Linked DNA regions of Arabidopsis thaliana. The protein of the gene in region 1 purifies or fractionates together with the protein of each later gene. This does not show direct contact. Each region holds a gene or a part of one and is shown in the gene's direction. Other genes may lie near its edges.

What was found.
Region 2: the proteins of RPT2b (region 1) and PAC1 fractionate together in Arabidopsis thaliana (co-fractionation; one large-scale study listed by BioGRID). This does not show direct contact.
Region 3: the proteins of RPT2b (region 1) and RPAC43 fractionate together in Arabidopsis thaliana (co-fractionation; one large-scale study listed by BioGRID). This does not show direct contact.
Region 4: the proteins of RPT2b (region 1) and PBC2 fractionate together in Arabidopsis thaliana (co-fractionation; one large-scale study listed by BioGRID). This does not show direct contact.

Annotation. Positions count from the first base shown.
Region 1 is NC_003071.7:8,690,968-8,695,619, forward strand, and holds RPT2b (AAA-type ATPase family protein), read left to right. Parts: upstream 1-1,599; 5' UTR 1,600-1,768; coding exon 1,769-2,242; intron 2,243-2,322; coding exon 2,323-2,568; intron 2,569-2,970; coding exon 2,971-3,140; intron 3,141-3,244; coding exon 3,245-3,461; intron 3,462-3,552; coding exon 3,553-3,693; intron 3,694-3,786; coding exon 3,787-3,870; 3' UTR 3,871-4,144; downstream 4,145-4,652. Other genes in the region: LCV1 (uncharacterized protein), read right to left, coding at 115-212, 302-469, 552-661, 738-790, 1,139-1,267; AT2G20142 (Toll-Interleukin-Resistance (TIR) domain family protein), read left to right, coding at 4,420-4,652. UniProt on the Arabidopsis thaliana protein: The 26S protease is involved in the ATP-dependent degradation of ubiquitinated proteins. The regulatory (or ATPase) complex confers ATP dependency and substrate specificity to the 26S complex. Acts redundantly with RPT2A in the regulation of gametogenesis.
Region 2 is NC_003074.8:7,792,008-7,796,117, reverse strand, and holds PAC1 (20S proteasome alpha subunit C1), read left to right. Parts: upstream 1-1,855; 5' UTR 1,856-2,047; intron 2,048-2,536; 5' UTR 2,537-2,546; coding exon 2,547-3,299; 3' UTR 3,300-3,569; downstream 3,570-4,110. Other genes in the region: CWLP (cell wall-plasma membrane linker protein), read left to right, coding at 1-835; AT3G22104 (Phototropic-responsive NPH3 family protein), read right to left, coding at 3,939-4,110. UniProt on the Arabidopsis thaliana protein: The proteasome is a multicatalytic proteinase complex which is characterized by its ability to cleave peptides with Arg, Phe, Tyr, Leu, and Glu adjacent to the leaving group at neutral or slightly basic pH.
Region 3 is NC_003070.9:22,329,234-22,334,075, forward strand, and holds RPAC43 (RNA polymerase I subunit 43), read left to right. Parts: upstream 1-1,660; 5' UTR 1,661-1,991; coding exon 1,992-2,150; intron 2,151-2,235; exon of another isoform or gene 2,236-2,361; intron 2,362-2,455; coding exon 2,456-2,641; intron 2,642-2,719; coding exon 2,720-2,849; intron 2,850-2,944; coding exon 2,945-3,025; intron 3,026-3,118; coding exon 3,119-3,306; intron 3,307-3,400; coding exon 3,401-3,496; intron 3,497-3,598; coding exon 3,599-3,692; intron 3,693-3,819; coding exon 3,820-3,939; intron 3,940-4,033; coding exon 4,034-4,137; 3' UTR 4,138-4,335; downstream 4,336-4,842. Other genes in the region: RALFL6 (RALF-like 6), read left to right, coding at 4,683-4,842.
Region 4 is NC_003070.9:29,094,242-29,099,006, forward strand, and holds PBC2 (20S proteasome beta subunit C2), read left to right. Parts: upstream 1-1,778; coding exon 1,779-1,784; intron 1,785-1,959; exon of another isoform or gene 1,960-2,092; coding exon of another isoform or gene 2,093-2,098; intron 2,099-2,210; coding exon 2,211-2,392; intron 2,393-2,491; coding exon 2,492-2,599; intron 2,600-2,717; coding exon 2,718-2,807; intron 2,808-3,126; coding exon 3,127-3,211; intron 3,212-3,568; coding exon 3,569-3,663; intron 3,664-3,815; coding exon 3,816-3,864; 3' UTR 3,865-4,209; downstream 4,210-4,765. Other genes in the region: AT1G77420 (alpha/beta-Hydrolases superfamily protein), read left to right, coding at 54-200, 281-411, 572-709, 797-895, 983-1,201. UniProt on the Arabidopsis thaliana protein: Non-catalytic component of the proteasome, a multicatalytic proteinase complex which is characterized by its ability to cleave peptides with Arg, Phe, Tyr, Leu, and Glu adjacent to the leaving group at neutral or slightly basic pH.

The DNA of each region.
Region 1 (4,652 bases):
TGGGTAAAAAGATTACGAAATTATGGTAAACCATATAACTCGAAATTGTTTGTATCCTCAAGGAGACGTTCTGGAAAGAATAACAAAATCCTTGAGCAAAGTATTTTCACTCACCTGGAGAACAACAGTTGATGTAATGAAGCCAAATGCATATTCACCTACACGGGGATGCCTGATGATTGCAACTTCCTTGAAAGCTTGTGTATTTTGATCTGTGATGAGAAATGGATAAGAACAAGATGAGATAGGAGATCAACTTAATGTTGAGAAGCAAAACAAGATTTTTATAAGCAAGCTAGACCAGGCGATATGGCAGTGCTGATTTGCTTGGAGGCGTTGTAGATGTGACGAACAAATGGCATCCGCTTGATAAACCACTCTCCCAAGTTCAGAACCGATGCCCCCAACCACGAAGACATGAACACCCCAACCAAGAAGATGAATGCAATGGAAGTCAAAAAACCGAAACCTACAAAACAATAATCAAACTCATTGTGGGAAACCGATATCAAGTTGTTAATAGGATAAAGAGGGGCCATTCAAATTCTTACCAAATATGTTGATTCCAAGTAGTGCATATATTGGAGAGAAGAATCCATCGACAAAGTGAATAAACCACCATGTTGTATAGAAAGTAACTGCAATAGGAAGTAGGATAACACTGCAAAAAGCAATGGAGACTTAAAACTAATCTGTGGAAGTTTTCATCAAATGCCAAAATTTCAACTCTTCCTTACCAGCCTGTCATGAACTTCTTTGACGCCCAACCCCTAATGAACAAGCTTAAAGTCTGCAGAAAAGAGCTAAAGCATCAGGCCACAATGCTCTATAAGTTATACATGCTTGAAAACATGAATGAGCATAATACAAAGACTCAAGAATCTGAATGATTCCAACCACAACAACTTGGAATGCAAATTCATACTCTACTCAATCACAACTACCAAACTTATCTAAGCAAGTGTTCTTGTGATATACTGAATCTAGGGCAAAACAAGTTCCAAGATTTTGAACTAAGGGGAGACAGAATCGACCAAATCTATGAATAACTATCATCCAATTCTACTGTTAGTTTCGCATGAATCTTGAAATGAGAAAACGAAGAACACGTTTTTAGATCAGGTGACAAAAACTAGACCTCGTGGCCGGATTGATGCGAAGAAGAAGCAGAGGAAGAAGAAGAAGGCTTCGAAGAAGAACCATCGTCTTTGTCGCCGAAATCAGCGACGGGAATCAGAAGCTCTCGATCTCTTTCTCGATTGGCCATAACAATTGTCGTGTAAAGAGAGATAAAACCCTAAACCTAGAAACTCACCGAGAGTTCGAAGATTGTAAATCACAATCTAGAAGCTAGTTGCGAAACAGAAGAACCACCTCGAAGATCCTGAGATTTGATGATGATGATTGTGATGATGATGAATGACAGATAGAGAAGACGATGAAATTGATTTTTGATTCGATTTCCCCAAATGGCAAAAGAAAAGTTCCTTACCTGTACCGATTGACCGTACCAACTACCAAACCAACGAATTGACTTTTACAAAACTTAAACCGAAATTAAAGATAATTAAACCGAGTTATTGAACTAAACCAGATAATAGCTTAGGTTGAATCAGTTTTAAAAAAATTTGCGATACCTAAGGCCCACTAAGTTTTTCACATCGTAAAAAGGCCTAAAATAATAAGCCCACTTTAATCATCTCCTCCCGTTATCAGATTAAAAGATTTGTTTCTCCGAGAGCAAGAAACCTCAGAGAGACGAAGCACAATGGGTCAAGGACCTTCCGGCGGATTGAATCGGCAAGGAGATCGGAAACCAGATGGTGGAGAGAAGAAGGAGAAGAAGTTCGAACCAGCCGCACCACCTGCTCGTGTAGGGAGGAAGCAACGGAAGCAGAAAGGACCTGAAGCGGCGGCGAGATTGCCGACGGTGACTCCTTCTACTAAATGTAAGCTTCGATTGCTGAAATTGGAGCGAATCAAGGACTATTTGCTTATGGAGGAAGAGTTCGTAGCGAATCAGGAGAGATTGAAACCTCAGGAAGAGAAAGCTGAGGAAGATAGATCTAAAGTTGATGATCTTCGTGGTACACCTATGAGTGTTGGCAATCTTGAAGAGCTTATTGATGAGAATCACGCCATTGTTTCTTCTTCGGTTGGTCCTGAGTACTACGTTGGCATTTTGTCTTTCGTTGATAAGGATCAGCTTGAACCTGGCTGCTCTATTTTGATGCATAACAAGGTATTGAGTTTTACAATGCTCTTCCATGGAAACGTTGAACCAATTCTTCTATGTGATATTTTTTATTATTTTTGTGATAGGTACTCTCTGTTGTTGGGATTCTTCAAGATGAAGTGGATCCAATGGTGTCTGTGATGAAAGTGGAGAAGGCTCCTTTGGAGTCATATGCTGACATTGGAGGTTTAGAAGCTCAGATTCAGGAGATTAAGGAAGCTGTTGAGTTACCTTTAACACATCCCGAGCTGTATGAAGATATTGGAATTAAGCCACCAAAAGGTGTGATCTTGTATGGTGAGCCAGGCACTGGGAAGACATTGCTTGCTAAGGTTCGTCTTTTAGCCTATAGTGTATCCATTATATAATAAGCTTTCTAGTTGTTAATTGCTTAATACAGCACATAATGGTACTTCCCAAGTATGATTGGTTTTATGTCAAGTCATGCATGCAAAATTTTCTGTCTTTTATCAATCTTCACTAGAAAGATGAATTAGTCAGGACAGTGGCTTCTTTGGTTTGATCACCTAGAATTGAGATATTAGATCATAGTACTTGTGTAGATAGAGGAAGATTTTCAGAGTCACGTGGATTGATTTAATGTCTTCGTTTTCTTTTTGTCTATGTCGCAAGCATGGATTGTTGCAGTGTGCCTCTTTTTAATGTGTCTCTTATGCTTGTTAAATTCGGAACTGTTGGAGATGAGCAAGTGTTATTTCTTGTTATTCTTTCAGGCAGTGGCAAATTCTACTTCAGCTACTTTCTTGCGTGTTGTCGGTAGTGAACTGATTCAGAAGTATTTAGGAGATGGTCCCAAGCTTGTGAGGGAACTTTTCAGGGTTGCTGATGACCTTTCTCCTTCTATTGTTTTCATAGACGAGATTGATGCTGTTGGCACCAAGCGGTATGCCTAAATACAACATAAACATGATCCATTGATAAACAATGTTCTTGATTTTGCTCAAGAGATGGTATCTAATATGTGATATAAAATGGTGGTTGAAACAGGTATGACGCAAACTCAGGTGGGGAACGTGAAATCCAAAGAACCATGTTGGAACTACTGAACCAGCTTGATGGGTTTGATTCAAGAGGAGATGTTAAGGTTATTCTCGCGACAAACAGGATCGAGAGTCTTGACCCGGCACTTCTTAGACCAGGCCGGATCGACAGGAAAATCGAATTCCCTCTTCCAGATATCAAAACAAGAAGACGTATCTTCCAGGTTCCACAACTGGTGATCCTTAAGTTTTCTTTCTTTTTTTGTGAATTTTCTAGAAAGATCTGATCGGTTTTTAATTGCATGCCATTATTAGATACACACATCAAAGATGACTTTGGCTGAAGATGTGAACTTAGAAGAGTTTGTAATGACAAAAGACGAGTTCTCAGGAGCTGATATAAAGGCAATATGCACAGAAGCTGGTCTGCTTGCTCTTAGAGAGCGTCGGATGAAAGTAAGGATTCTCTGGCTTCTCACCACTTGATTCATCGAACGCAATCTTTGAATAATTTTACTTTAACCTTTGTTTGGTCTTCTATTGGTTTAGGTGACGCATGTGGACTTCAAGAAGGCGAAGGAGAAGGTTATGTTCAAGAAGAAAGAAGGAGTTCCTGAAGGTCTTTACATGTGAATGATGCACAACGACTGGTTTCAATCTCTTTTTTCGAGTTTGCTCTCTTTTTCTCCGTTTTTCTGTTTTCACTCTCTGCTTAGATTTTTTTTTCTGATCATATAAAATCGTTTGCCCATTATTAATCTGCTTCCAAATTAGCAATTTATTAGTTTGCTTTCTTCAGAACAACCTCATAGATTTATTCATTTGAAATTTCCATCATTTTTACTTTGCGGTTACGAATATATAGTCCAATTTCCAAGTCTAAGCTTATGTGGGTTATTTTACATTATTGTTTGAACTTATTTCTGAAGCTTGGAGATATTTAAAGTCAACATAAGTAGCTGTCGATATTTGTCGACAGGCTGTCTGAATCAAATATAAAATACATACACTTCCAAGAAACTACGAAGAAAGTTTCAAAATTGCAATAGAAAAAGAGGATTGAAGTCGTGTGTTTTTGTACTTTAGTAAAGATAATAATTTCTAGGAAATTGCAAAGAAAGTTATAAAGAACTATAAAGATGAAAACAGAAGAAAGGAAAGTGGTATGACAAAAATAAGGAAATGAATTCAAGTCCTAAAATGAAACACGATGTGTTCATAAGTTTCAGGAGCAAAGACACTCGTGACAACTTCGTAAGCCATCTCTGTGGCTGTCTACGTAGGAAACGGATCAAAACCTTCTTGTATGACGAACTACCAGCTGACGAGAGGTATGAAGAGTCGTTAAAAGCAATTGAAGTATCGAAAATTTCAGTCATTGTGTTCTCGGAAAACTTTGGGGATTCGAGATGGTG
Region 2 (4,110 bases), on another chromosome or scaffold:
ACCGGCAGTAAAACCACCTACTCCAAAACCTCCCACCGTGAAACCCCATCCTAAACCACCAACCGTCAAACCCCATCCTAAACCACCAACCGTCAAACCCCACCCTAAGCCACCCACCGTCAAACCACCCCACCCTAAACCACCCACCAAACCTCACCCCCACCCAAAACCTCCCATCGTAAAGCCACCAACCAAGCCTCCTCCGTCCACCCCTAAACCTCCCACCAAACCTCCCCCGTCCACACCTAAACCTCCCACGACCAAGCCTCCTCCGTCTACTCCGAAACCACCCCACCACAAGCCTCCGCCTACACCATGCCCACCACCAACACCAACGCCGACTCCACCAGTTGTAACACCGCCAACACCAACCCCACCCGTCATAACTCCACCAACACCAACCCCACCCGTCGTAACACCGCCAACGCCAACTCCACCCGTCATTACACCACCAACACCAACTCCACCCGTCATTACACCACCAACACCAACACCACCCGTCGTGACACCTCCAACACCAACACCACCCGTAGTAACACCACCAACACCAACTCCTCCTACGCCTATTCCAGAGACTTGCCCAATTGACACGCTGAAGCTAGGCGCTTGTGTGGACGTTCTTGGAGGTTTGATTCACATCGGACTTGGAAAAAGCCACGCCAAGGCAGAATGTTGTCCGGTTTTAGGAGGTTTACTTGACCTAGACGCAGCCGTTTGTCTATGTACCACCATTAAGCTCAAACTTCTCAACATCGACCTTGTTCTCCCCATTGCTCTTGAGCTTCTTCTCGACTGTGGAAAAACTCCACCATCTGACTTCAAATGTCCCGCTTAATCGATGTAGAACGTTGAGAGTCTCTGGACGACTCCAAAAGTTTCGTTTCTTCAAGAAATTTGTTAGTTTCATGATCTATTTGGTAATGGGAGGTTAATCTGCATATGTGCGACCTTTAGTTACATGTTTCATTTGATACAATAAAAGGCGTTGTAATTTGGGTTTGAGATTTCAATTTCTTTGGGCTTTCTTGTTATGTTGTACTTTTAAGAAGAAGAAAAAAAAACTGTTAAACGATATAACTTTTTTTTTAATATGAACAAGTTTGTATCTGTCTAATTTGTTTTTATGTACATACGTACGTTTTGGAGTAGAAAAAATGTGATTTTTGTAGCCATGGCCCATGCGCATTGCACTGATGCATATGCGCCTCACAGCGCAGCTACTGACCAAGAACATGTGTATAAATTTAGTTATACTGTATACACGTATACTCTTGCTAAAAAAAAATTATCTATCACATTTTTTTTTGTCCAAACATTTGATAAAAAAGATATATGATAAGATTACAAAATTTTGATTTGTTTATGAAGATTTCAAGAAAATAAGTAAGCCCCTAATATTTTAGAGTGTGTTATTAGTTATCTTGTTAGTGACAATTGTTTATCATACATTACAAGAGATATATCTATGTATTTTCTTATACAAATAACATACATTGTGTGTTACTACGTACCAGGGATTTAACAAAACATTTAGTTTGTAAATACTACATTTTTACTTTTCTTTTAACATCGTGAATATATATAACATTACATTCTTATTATGATTTATGAAATAGGTGCACATTTAAATGTTTTTTCTAAAAGGGATATTCTTACTGATATGTGTATATAAATACATCCACGTAAAATGAATCTAGCTTTTTTTTTTGTCAGAAATGAATCTAGTTTATATTTCTATACACATATCAGTAAAAAAAAAAAAAAAAAAAAAAAATCAGCATATGACAACAAAAATTAAGATATATCAGAGATTCCGAGTTATGGATCTTGCATTGGGCTTGATTATATAATTTGGGCCTTTTCTTATCCATAAATTACACTTTTGGGCCTAATCTGTAAAGCACAAAAAAAAAACACCTTTTTTTTTTCTTTTCTTTCTGGCTTGTCGAACAGTTCACATCTCAGAGCTCATAAATTTTGTGGAGAGCAAAGTTCTCAGCAAAATCAAAGAAGAACCGAACGAGAGAGAGAAACGAATTCTTCTCAGGTATTCTCTTAAATCCAATGTCTTTCATTCTCCTACTTGTTCCTAGAATTTTCAGAATCTGTGTATCTTCCTTTCCTGTTTAATTTTGCTGGATCTGTCTTGAGCGAAGTGTTTTCTTATGAAATCTTCAAACTTTTGATAGAATTTTATAAACCCTAGCTAGATTCGATTCTGGGTGATGTTTAGTTTTTAGGTGTTTTTATATGGGCATCAGTGATTGTTGAATTATCTTTCGATTTTTCTCTTCGCTCCTGTGATTGTGACTTTAGGTTTGTGTTGATCTCAAAGTAACATAGATTTATAAAGCTAGTTCATTTCCTTTCTATTGAAGAAACTTGACCTAGTTTTAGTCTAGTTTTTAATCTGAATCAATTGTGTTTGTTGATCGTTGTGATGTCGAAAACCCTAGTTTTCGTGTTTTCGGAACTTGCCCTGTGTCTAATGGAGTATGAATTAGTTGTGTAGACCAATGCATTTGTTGTGGTGCAGGTGTTAAAGAATGTCTCGGAGATATGATAGCCGTACCACAATCTTCTCGCCAGAAGGTCGTCTTTACCAGGTAGAGTATGCTATGGAGGCCATTGGAAACGCCGGTTCTGCGATTGGAATCTTATCCAAAGACGGTGTTGTGTTGATCGGTGAGAAGAAAGTCACCTCAAAGCTTCTTCAAACCTCAACCTCTGCTGAGAAAATGTACAAGATTGATGACCATGTTGCCTGTGCTGTTGCTGGTATAATGTCTGATGCTAACATACTTATCAACACGGCTCGAGTTCAAGCTCAACGTTACACCTTCATGTACCAAGAGCCCATGCCGGTTGAGCAGCTGGTTCAATCTCTTTGTGACACAAAACAAGGATACACACAGTTTGGTGGTCTTCGCCCGTTTGGTGTCTCCTTTCTCTTTGCAGGATGGGACAAGCACCATGGTTTCCAGCTTTATATGAGTGACCCGAGTGGGAACTATGGTGGTTGGAAAGCTGCAGCTGTTGGAGCAAACAATCAGGCGGCTCAGTCTATCCTGAAACAAGACTACAAGGACGATGCAACCAGGGAAGAAGCAGTCGAGCTTGCCTTGAAGGTTCTGACCAAGACAATGGACAGCACTAGCTTAACATCTGAGAAGCTAGAGCTTGCTGAAGTGTATCTGACTCCATCCAAGACTGTTAAGTACCATGTTCACTCACCTGAGTCGCTCACCAAACTGTTGGTCAAGCACGGTGTGACTCAACCCGCTGCTGAAACATCTTAAGCCCAAAAGTATCTCTAGTCTTATTCGCCTGGTACGGTGTCTCCGCTTTATGTTTGTAGTTCTCTGTTTTACAGCTTTCCTTTTGGTTTGAACTTTGAAGTTACCTTTGGCGATGAAACTAGATTTGACAATGTTATGAATTTATCTTCAATGCATCATCTTTTTACTAATGTCGATCAAAGGAACAGATATATTTTATTCTTATCTCTTTAGATTAGTCTGAATTTCTTCAATTCATGACTTGAATACTAAGCATTCTACTTGTCGCGCAAAGTTTTACACGTAACGGCCTCGTCAAAAAGAACTGTTTTATCTTCTAAGTAAACGCAATTACACGTTGAGAATCTTGGAATCACAAAAGAGTAACGTTTAAGGAAGAATAGAATCAAAATTCTAGATTTTTGTTTTGCATTCTTGGTATTAATCTCACAAGAAAATTTTATAGATTTAAGTTTGTATCATCTCCATAAAAACGAATTTATCTTTACTTTTCATTACGCACAACTTTGTGACAAAGAAAACAACACAAGAAAAGATAAATACTCTGAAACATAAGAACCAAATGGTAACTATAATTGACTCCTTATGCTCTCTATCACTCTATGTACAAATATGATCGTAAGCTTACAGCTTCACTAATCAAGAACAGAGCTTAGGAAGTGATCTATTACTTCCTTTGCTCGAGCTCTTGGATCTCTTCTTGATAACTTCCATTTGATTCTGCATTTTCAAACAAGCTCTCTCCAATTCCATTACCCTCCATTGAATCCCTTCGATATGTTCCTTCAGCTTCTCGTTTTCTCCTGAAGTC
Region 3 (4,842 bases), on another chromosome or scaffold:
AACTGAAACAGAAAAATTACAGTAAGAAACCTGTAGACATACGAAACTAATTAGTTGTAAGATATGAAAGCTCAAATATCTTCAGCTTTTGACATGACGAGCCAAGATGTAATAAGATTTAACTGTCCTAAGCAATACAGATTACAATCCAACTAGAGACAAAGTTGAGATCTTTGAGGAAACTATGGTTCATGATCAACTCCTATGTGATGAACTTTCTTTGATCTTGCCTAGGAACCAAATTTAGAGATCATGGTCAAAGATTCATCTGAATATTAAACCAAGTAACAAAAAACAGGCAAAATAAATTATTATGTCAAAAGTGATAAAATAAGGCAAACCTCTGGAACATGGAAGAAAGATAGCAACTCCAAAGAACAAGACATAACCTAAAGATCTTGTAAGAGAGAAGCTAAGAGAAGATTTGTACCTGTTAGAGATTGCCCATAAAAAAAAATAAACCGTAGCTTCCTTCAGATCCTACAAACCTAAAAGAAATCATTATCACAGGCTCACAGCGATCCAAGTTTGCTTATTTGCATCAATTAAAGTTTAAAAAACAAAAAAAACTGTAAAATTAAGAAGTCGAAGAGAAGCTAAATCAATCAATGAATGATTCAGAATCTTAAGAAGAAGAAGATGGGTTTTGATGATAGAAACGCTTTGAAACAATAAAATCCAATAATTTAATTCAAAGATTTTAAATTTAAGGAGAAAGAAGAATAAAAGAAACGGATGGGAAAAAAGAAAGAATGAAATGAATGATGGAAAGGTGAGAAATCAGCAGAGGACAGGACACAGTTGTGAAGGAGTGGGAGGAGTTGGGTGGCAAAGTCGAGATATTAAAAACAAAACAAAAACTTGAAAAATAGACTCGAAAATAATACTAACATTTTTTTTTTGGGAGATGATGATAACAAGAATAGTAATAGTAACCGGTGGCGGTGGTATTGGTTCTGCTGATTTCCCCGTGAGTTGTGCCTTCTCTCTGGTGTGACGCCATTTTACTCTACTTTTCTCCATTTTCCCTCTGTCCTTTTTCTCCTTTTCTATTTTTTTCTTCCTGACCAGTTCAATTCTTCTTCTTCTTTTTTTAAATAAAGAAGAGTTCAAACTTTTAAAATGGGCAACACTAATTTGTTTGCTAATTTACGATAGGGACCCAATGTATGGTCGTCCGGTTTAGTCTTTTTGTTTTTTATTAGACTAAACTAAATTTGAAATCACATGTGGTTTGTTATTTATCTACTTTCGTGTTTGAGTTGATTGGAACTAGTTTTGGTTTTAGTTTTGTTTAGTTTCTTGGCTCATTCTTCTGGTTATCTTGGTATGCTATAATAAAAAAAATACTGGAGTGAGAACCTTCACCATTATGGGTTTGAACTGCCATAACTAAATTTGGAGAATATGATTATTCAGATCGGGTTTGTTTAGAAATCGACATTTCTACTTATATTTGGAAAAGTTATATAGTAGAAAATCAAACAAAATGTCGAATGTTATATTTCTCGTTTCATGATTTTCTATATATCTCATTTGTTTAATTATAAGACAGATTGTTTAGTTCGTTCTTTTCGTTTACTGTTTTCTCAAATTTGTTTTGTAGATTTTTTTTCCATATTCGGCGACCAATCATATAATTATCTTTTAACTAATATGTGGTTAATTAAAAAATAAAAAAATGTCGATTTGGTTCGGACTTAAGATTAGAATTTCGGTTTGGTGGTAACGAAAATTTTAAAAGTCAGAAATCAACCAAACTCCGGTTGGACGGTTCAGCCGCTTCGGTTCGGACTTAAGCCATGCCGCTATTAGAAAAATGGATGTTTTTTTTTCTAGTATTCACACGTGTCCATAAACCCTAATTTTCCAGTTTTATGAAATTGAAGAACGAAATTGAAGTGAAAAGTGAAATCGTGCAATTTTCATCTTCCTCTTCTCCTTAAACCCTGATTTCGGATTCTCACAATCGAACTTGGCTGCAGAGAAGGATGGGGACTAACGAAGTAACAAGGATTGTGACTGATGAAGAAAAGAGAGAAGCGAAGAACTTCAACATATTTGATCTCCCTGACGTTCCTACCGGACTTCCTCCGCATCTTGAGCTCCAGCGAACTCGCGTTGTCTGTAAGAAGGATTCTAATATTCATGTAAGTACTATTCTCGATCAAAATTTACACTCTTTTTAAGCTATGTATAAGTTCAGCTAACTAGAAATTTATTGGCTTTTCTCAGTGTGTCCCATGTGGGTTTGCTATGTTCATCGATTTCGTGTAGATTTACAGAGTAAAGTTTAAAACTTGCTTGTAGAAAGCTGTGAATTTACTGAGTTTGGTCTTAGCAATTTAAGAAGATTACACTGTGGGTTTGTCGAAATCCGAATGATATTGAGTGATGATTGTTTGAAATTTGAAGTCTTTAATGTTCTTCCCTTTCTTTTTGTGTTTTATTGTAGCCTACGGCTATCACTTTCTCGGGTGCCTATTCCTCTATGGGAGTGGACAACAGTGTGAGACTAGAAAACTTCTCTGAGGATTTCAAAGTTGATGTGATTAGTCTCACAGAGACAGATATGGTATTCGATATGATCGGTGTCCATGCAGGAATCGCTAATGCTTTCCGAAGAATCCTCTTAGCTGAGGTCTGCCCACTGTCTCACTACCTCTGATGAATCTCTGATTATTAGAATCTTTGGTTAATAGTGTTTCTTTGATTACAGCTTCCTTCAATGGCTATTGAAAAAGTGTATGTAGCAAACAACACATCGGTTATTCAAGACGAAGTTCTTGCTCACAGGTTGGGTCTTATTCCAATTGCCGCAGATCCGAGACTCTTTGAATATTTATCTGGTAAGAAATATTCTGTGGAATGTGATCCATCTCATTAAGCATATAAACTCTTTGTGTCACGCTTAGTTTTGTTGTTGTTTATCTTTGTGTCATAGAAAACGATCAGCCAAATGAAAAGAACACCATTGTTTTCAAACTCCATGTGAAATGTCTAAAAGGTGACCCGCGTCGTAAAGGTAATATATGTTCTTTGGTTTGCTCAAGAAGAGTCTTTGTTTTATTGTTAGCTCGAGATCTCATGAGAGGTATCATTTTTTTATTTCTTGAAGTCTTAACAAGCGAATTGAAATGGTTACCAAATGGAAGTGAGCTTATCAAAGAATCTGGAGGTTCAACCACAACGCCAAAAACTTACACTTCATTCAACCATAGCCAAGATTCCTTCCCTGAATTTGCTGAAAATCCTATCAGGCCAACCTTAAAAGATATCTTGATAGCAAAACTTGGCCCTGGCCAGGTACTGTTTCTATTTATACTCTTCCCCTTAATTGTGACATTTTTGAGGACTTAATTCCGTTGAGAGATGAAAGACTTGCATCTTCTTCTTGCAGGAAATCGAGCTTGAGGCTCATGCCGTTAAGGGCATTGGTAAAACACATGCAAAGTGGTCCCCAGTAGCAACGGCTTGGTATCGAATGCTTCCTGAGGTGAGAAGTTCACCATAAGCCTTCTGGGAAAAGGACTTAATTAATTTCTTCTTGACTCGTCCTAGGCTTTTCCGGTAATGCTTTTTGTTTATAATATCTTAGGTGGTTCTACTAAAGGAATTCGAGGGTAAACATGCCGAAGAACTCGTAAAAGTCTGCCCCAAGAAAGTTTTTGACATTGAAGACATGGGCCAAGGTGAAGTAAAAGCCTTCCCAAGTTTCCTTCAAATGTCTTTACTTGCTTTTGAGTAACAATAAGAGATTCTGATGAAACCTGAGAACTTTGGCGGCAAATTAATTTGACTTGCAAACGTGGAAAACAGGTAGGAAGAGGGCAACAGTAGCTCGGCCGCGTGATTGTTCGTTGTGTAGAGAATGCATAAGAGATGGAGTGGAATGGGAGGACCAAGTGGATCTGCGCCGTGTCAAGAACCATTTTATATGTAAGAAAAGAAAAAGAAAAACACAGTTCCTTCAACCTGGCAATTCCATGGTACTGAAAGAGATTCTAATTGAGTTTCTTATCATCTTTCGCAGTTACAATTGAGTCCACGGGATCACAGCCTCCGGAGGTTCTTTTCAACGAAGCAGTGAAGATATTGGAAGATAAATGTGAAAGAGTAATCTCTGAACTCTCCTGAAAAGAGATTAAATTGGTTTAGCTCTACCGGCTTGGTTCCGGTTTAGTTCAGTTTTGGGTTTTGTATCGAAGTTAATACAAAGAACATTGAAATTTATATATACTTGGTTTCGGCTCGGTTCAAATTTAGAATATACATGTGAACGTTGAAGAGTAGATGGATGTACGTACGTACACATTCATCAAGCACTGAACAGAGTGAAGAAACAACAGAACAGATCAATTTTTACAACAACGAAACAAACAAACACTAACGACAACACAGATATTCACGAAAGTCTTGTTGTGGCCGATAAATTTGCTGCCATGCTAGAAACCAACCGAACATATTAACCGAAAAAACTGTAAATGACATATAAATAGCCACGAAACTCTATCAGCACATACATTATGCACTGGCCGTCTTTTTTTTAGAATCATCCTTCTCATTATAAATCAAAGAAACACAAATTAATAATTAATCACGTATTCAAACTACAAAAATATAATAACACAGAAAAATATCAAGAAGTTTCAATTACATTGTTTTTGTTTTCTCAAAAAACAATGGCTGCACACAAAAAGAGTCATATCCGCATTTTCTTTGTTTCAGTAATGATTATATTATCATTGTTCAGCGGATTTGGAGAAGGACAAACATATATAAACTATAATGGTATGAAAGGAGACATAATTCCAGGTTGCAGCAGTAAGAATCCCAAAGAAT
Region 4 (4,765 bases), on another chromosome or scaffold:
TTGAAAGGCTCTTCTTTTAATATATGTGGGAAAAAAATTGGGTTGTTTTACAGGTATAGCAAAGCAAATAGCAGGTTTTGGTTATGGGGTTTATGCTATAGACCATCCTGGTTTTGGTTTATCAGATGGTTTACATGGTCACATTCCAAGTTTTGATGACTTAGCAGACAATGCTATTGAACAGTTCACCAAAATGAAAGGTATATCTAAATTGTACCTGTTATTGCTTTTTGGTGTTGAATCTTGCTTTTGGGTTTTATTTAAGTGGTTTGATTCCTAGGGAGATCGGAATTGAGAAATTTGCCCCGGTTTTTGCTGGGACAGTCAATGGGAGGAGCAGTTGCCTTAAAAATTCATCTTAAAGAACCTCAAGCTTGGGATGGTCTTATCCTTGTCGCTCCAATGTGTAAGGTAAGTCTCTAACTATATCATTTTCTATGCATGTAATTGAGGTCTGGAGATTTGTTTCTCAAATCTGCAAATAAGATTTTCAGTGCTTGGAAGTATCTGTATTCACATTTTACATCTAGTTAGTTCATGTTTGAAATACCTGACCTTGGGTTGTCTCAAGATTTCAGAAGATGTAAAACCTCCTCCACTAGTCTTGAAGACGTTAATCTTGATGTCGACACTATTTCCCAAAGCAAAGCTCTTTCCAAAGAGAGACTTGAGCGACTTCTTCTTCAGGGACCTGAGTAAAAGAAAATTGGTACTTTCTCTTAGTTTTTCAATGGTACATTTTCTGAAGCATTTTTGCTAACTTTGTCTTTGATGTTTTTGTTCTCTGTGGATAAAGTGTGAGTACGATGTGATATGCTACGATGATCAAACACGTCTCAAAACTGCTGTTGAACTTCTAAATGCAACAAGAGACATTGAGATGCAAGTTGACAAGGTTAGTTGTAGAACCAAAGAAATAAAGGAAAGCTCTTCTCATCATAGACAGGGGCAAAAAACGAGATCTTTCTTTTCTATGTTGCAGGTCTCGTTGCCACTGTTGATACTTCATGGAGACACTGATAAAGTCACAGATCCCACTGTGAGTAAATTCCTTCACAAACATGCAGTCAGCCAAGACAAGACTCTAAAACTCTATCCAGGTGGCTACCATTGCATTCTAGAAGGTGATACAGACGAAAATATTTTCACTGTAATCAATGACATCGTTGCTTGGCTCGATGCCCGCGTTGATCCCAAGTAAAGTGAGATCATCTCTCCACAAACCTATACTTATTATTGTCTTCTGAATACTGTCGAGTCTCTGTGATTAAACATCCGGATAAGAAGAAAAAATAGATATGTGGCTTACAATGAATACACAACCTTAGCCGTTGTTTGCTTAGCTAGTGCTTCTAGTGCTACATCAGCCGCATCTTTCGAAGTGTAGTTAGTATTGTTTGGGTGCACATAAGTCAGGCTCAGAATCAAATTGATGACTGATCTCATTTGAACCATATTGCTCTGACAGATCCTTGAAATCTTGTGTTCTATTTGAGTGTTATTTTGTCAATGGACAGGCCCGGTCTAAAGCACAGACAGAGGAAACCGTACATATGAAAAGTTGCATAGCAGGAGCTCCGAAAAACTCTGTGAACACCAAGTAATTACTTCCGAAGATACCAAATGTACCATGGTTTTGGGTGAAAACAAGACCGGTATGCATTGCACGACAATGCACTCAGCTAACATTGCAGCGAATAGGGGCGTGTGAACGAGTCCCTTGGTGAACCATGTACCGAACCATCACTTCTAATACCATGAGCAGGTCGCAGTGCATAATGTCGGCGACAGTGACCAAATAAGTAGAGTTTGAGGACATGCCTGCACAAAAACGTTTCCCCAACTTTTATGACCAAAGCAAAATTTATCTCGTAGTAAAAAAGTAAAAGCAGAGCAAGAAAAAATAAAGACATAAAAGTCATCTGAAAGCCCAATAATATCGAGGCCCATCAATAAGAACCAAAAAAAATAAAAAATTGTCTAGAGTTTCGTCCAAGCCATCGTCGACTTTAATAATTGTTCTTCTCTTGCTCAGATTTCTTCTCCGATAGGAAAACTCCCGAAGCTTCACTCAGTAAACCCTAATTTTCCGATGTCGGTAAGTGTTCCTTGCCGAATTCTTTTTTTCAATTTCTAACTTTTGTTTGTTCTGCGCAAAGATTGATAGTATGAATTGAACGATAAAATCGGTGGACATTGTGGTGATTCAGATCTTCGAGTACAATGGAAGTGCCGTCGTAGCTATGGTAGGGAAGAATTGCTTCGCTATAGCTAGTGATCGGAGGCTTGGTGTGCAATTACAAACCATTGCTACCGATTTTCAGAGAATATCTAAGATCCACGATCATCTCTTCATCGGACTTTCCGGTCTCGCCACCGATGTCCAGACATTGTAAGCTCTCGTATATGTTTACTCCTTTCCTCAGAGAATTTTAGGTGAATTACAAAATTTAGGGCTCCGTTTTTTTTTGTTTTGTCTTTGGTACTGAAGGTACCAGCGACTCGTATTTCGTCATAAGTTATATCAGCTTAGGGAAGAAAGAGACATGAAGCCTGAAACTTTCGCTAGTCTTGTATCGGCTATTCTTTATGAGAAAAGGTTGGTGAAATGTCTTCTTCTCTCAATTTGTTATTAGTTTCTAGTTTCCTCTTAACAATCTGATTTCTTATGATTAATGTGGCATTGCCACTACTAAGTACCAAATTCTTTATTTCAGATTTGGCCCATTCTTGTGCCAACCTGTGATTGCTGGATTGGGAGATGATAACAAACCCTTCATTTGCACTATGGATTCTATTGGAGCCAAGTATGCTCGCTTTCTTCATTACTTAAGACGTTATATCTCATTTTTCGTCTGTAATGCCATTTAATTTACTTAGTCAGTGACTGTAATCGTGAAACTTGCTAGGTCAGCTAGAAAATGATCGTGGATTGATATTTTGGTTTTAGTTGGAATCTAATTTTGGTCTTTTGTCATCCAATGCAGTGTATGCATGTCATATGAGTGAACTTATTTTACATGTGTTGAGCTGATTTAAATATGATTCTTAATATAGTTGAGATTTTACCGAACATGATAGTTGCAATGGTGAGCATGCCTTGACGCTTGTTCTCTCTAAATGCAGGGAGTTAGCTAAAGATTTTGTTGTCTCGGGAACTGCTTCAGAATCTCTATATGGTGCCTGTGAAGCCATGTTCAAACCAGATATGGTATGTGCCTTCTGAAAACTTGTTTTTGTACCGATTCACTGGATACTCAAATGTGTGTTTATCACCTGAAAATTTGGTAGGATCATTCATATGTAAGTATTCTATTGTAGAATCTTGATCTGGTAGGAATATTTGTGTGCATAGTGCTGGTGATATATGACGTAACTCCAATAATTTTCTCTGTATATTTTAATTTGGCTTAGGATTAAGATGTTTCAATATTGCGATTACTTCCCTGCCATAGTACTGCTTCGATAAAGTTTGAATTTCAAGGTCATCATTCTAAGAAGTGCATTGTAAACAGACTCGTGATGAAATGAAAAGCATATAACTAGACTTAACAAATTTGAGTTTCAGGAAGCTGAGGAACTATTCGAGACAATTTCACAAGCACTTCTCTCTTCAGTTGACCGCGATTGTCTTAGTGGGTGGGGAGGACATGTCTACGTTGTGTAAGTTTTGTTCTCCTCATCTTCTTCTTCTTCTTCTTCTTCTTTTTTTCTGTCACATCTGGCTTCTTACAGAATATACCTCATGTGCACTTATCTTCTAAGGATATGTATTATATAAGATAGTAACATTCTTTCATGGTCATGTTGTCCAGAACACCAAAGGAGGTGAAGGAGAGAATCCTGAAGGGAAGGATGGATTGATCTGATATCACATATCTGCTTTTGTCCAAGTTCGGTATACTCCTTAACCCGGTTATGTAGAAGCTCTCGTCCCATAGTAACTATGTTCCTTCTCTGAAACTGGATATTGTGGTTCGTTCTCTCGGATGTTTTATTTGCTATTGATAGAGTTCAATGAAAATGAAGAAATAGCAGTTGTTATCTTGTTCCAGTACTCGATCATTCTATGTACCTTGTTGTTTCTGTTTTAATTTCGTACCAAGTGTTCCAGATTTCTGGTTTGTCGCAGTCTTTAGTTTTCAAGGTTGGTACTGATCAGTGACACGTTTTGTTGTTTGTCTTCTTAGTGTTCATGTTCGATTCACTATGGGTGACTTTAGAAAGACGTTAACATGTCAACGAAATATTTTGGTCAACTATCAATAAACATGGTTTGGCTAACGAAATCATACAATAACTATGAAATCAATGTAATTTGGAAGGTGATCACTAGTAACTGCAAATAGAAACGAATCAAACTATTATGATGATGATCCTGATGCTGCCATCTGACATTGTGAATGATTTTGCATGTCCTGTTCTGTTTGTGGCGTTAGATCGAGCCAGAGAGGCAAAATCCATACGCATAAGCGTTTTGATGATTTCATATAAAACGTGGCATGTGCAATAGATGTGGTCGTTACACGAATATAAACCCAATCCTGCCGACCTAACTAATCTCGGTGGGTATTCATATACTACCTGTGTGGGCAAAGCATATAAAGGTTCTACTTGGGCAATCATTATCGATGCTCGTAAATTCATGCGTCTAATCATTTTGATTATGAACCATCCACATCATGTCACGTGTCTAAACTCTTCGGTCACTTTTGAGCTTTTTATCAAATTCAACCCGCCACAATAAAAAGCGGCAGAACTAACA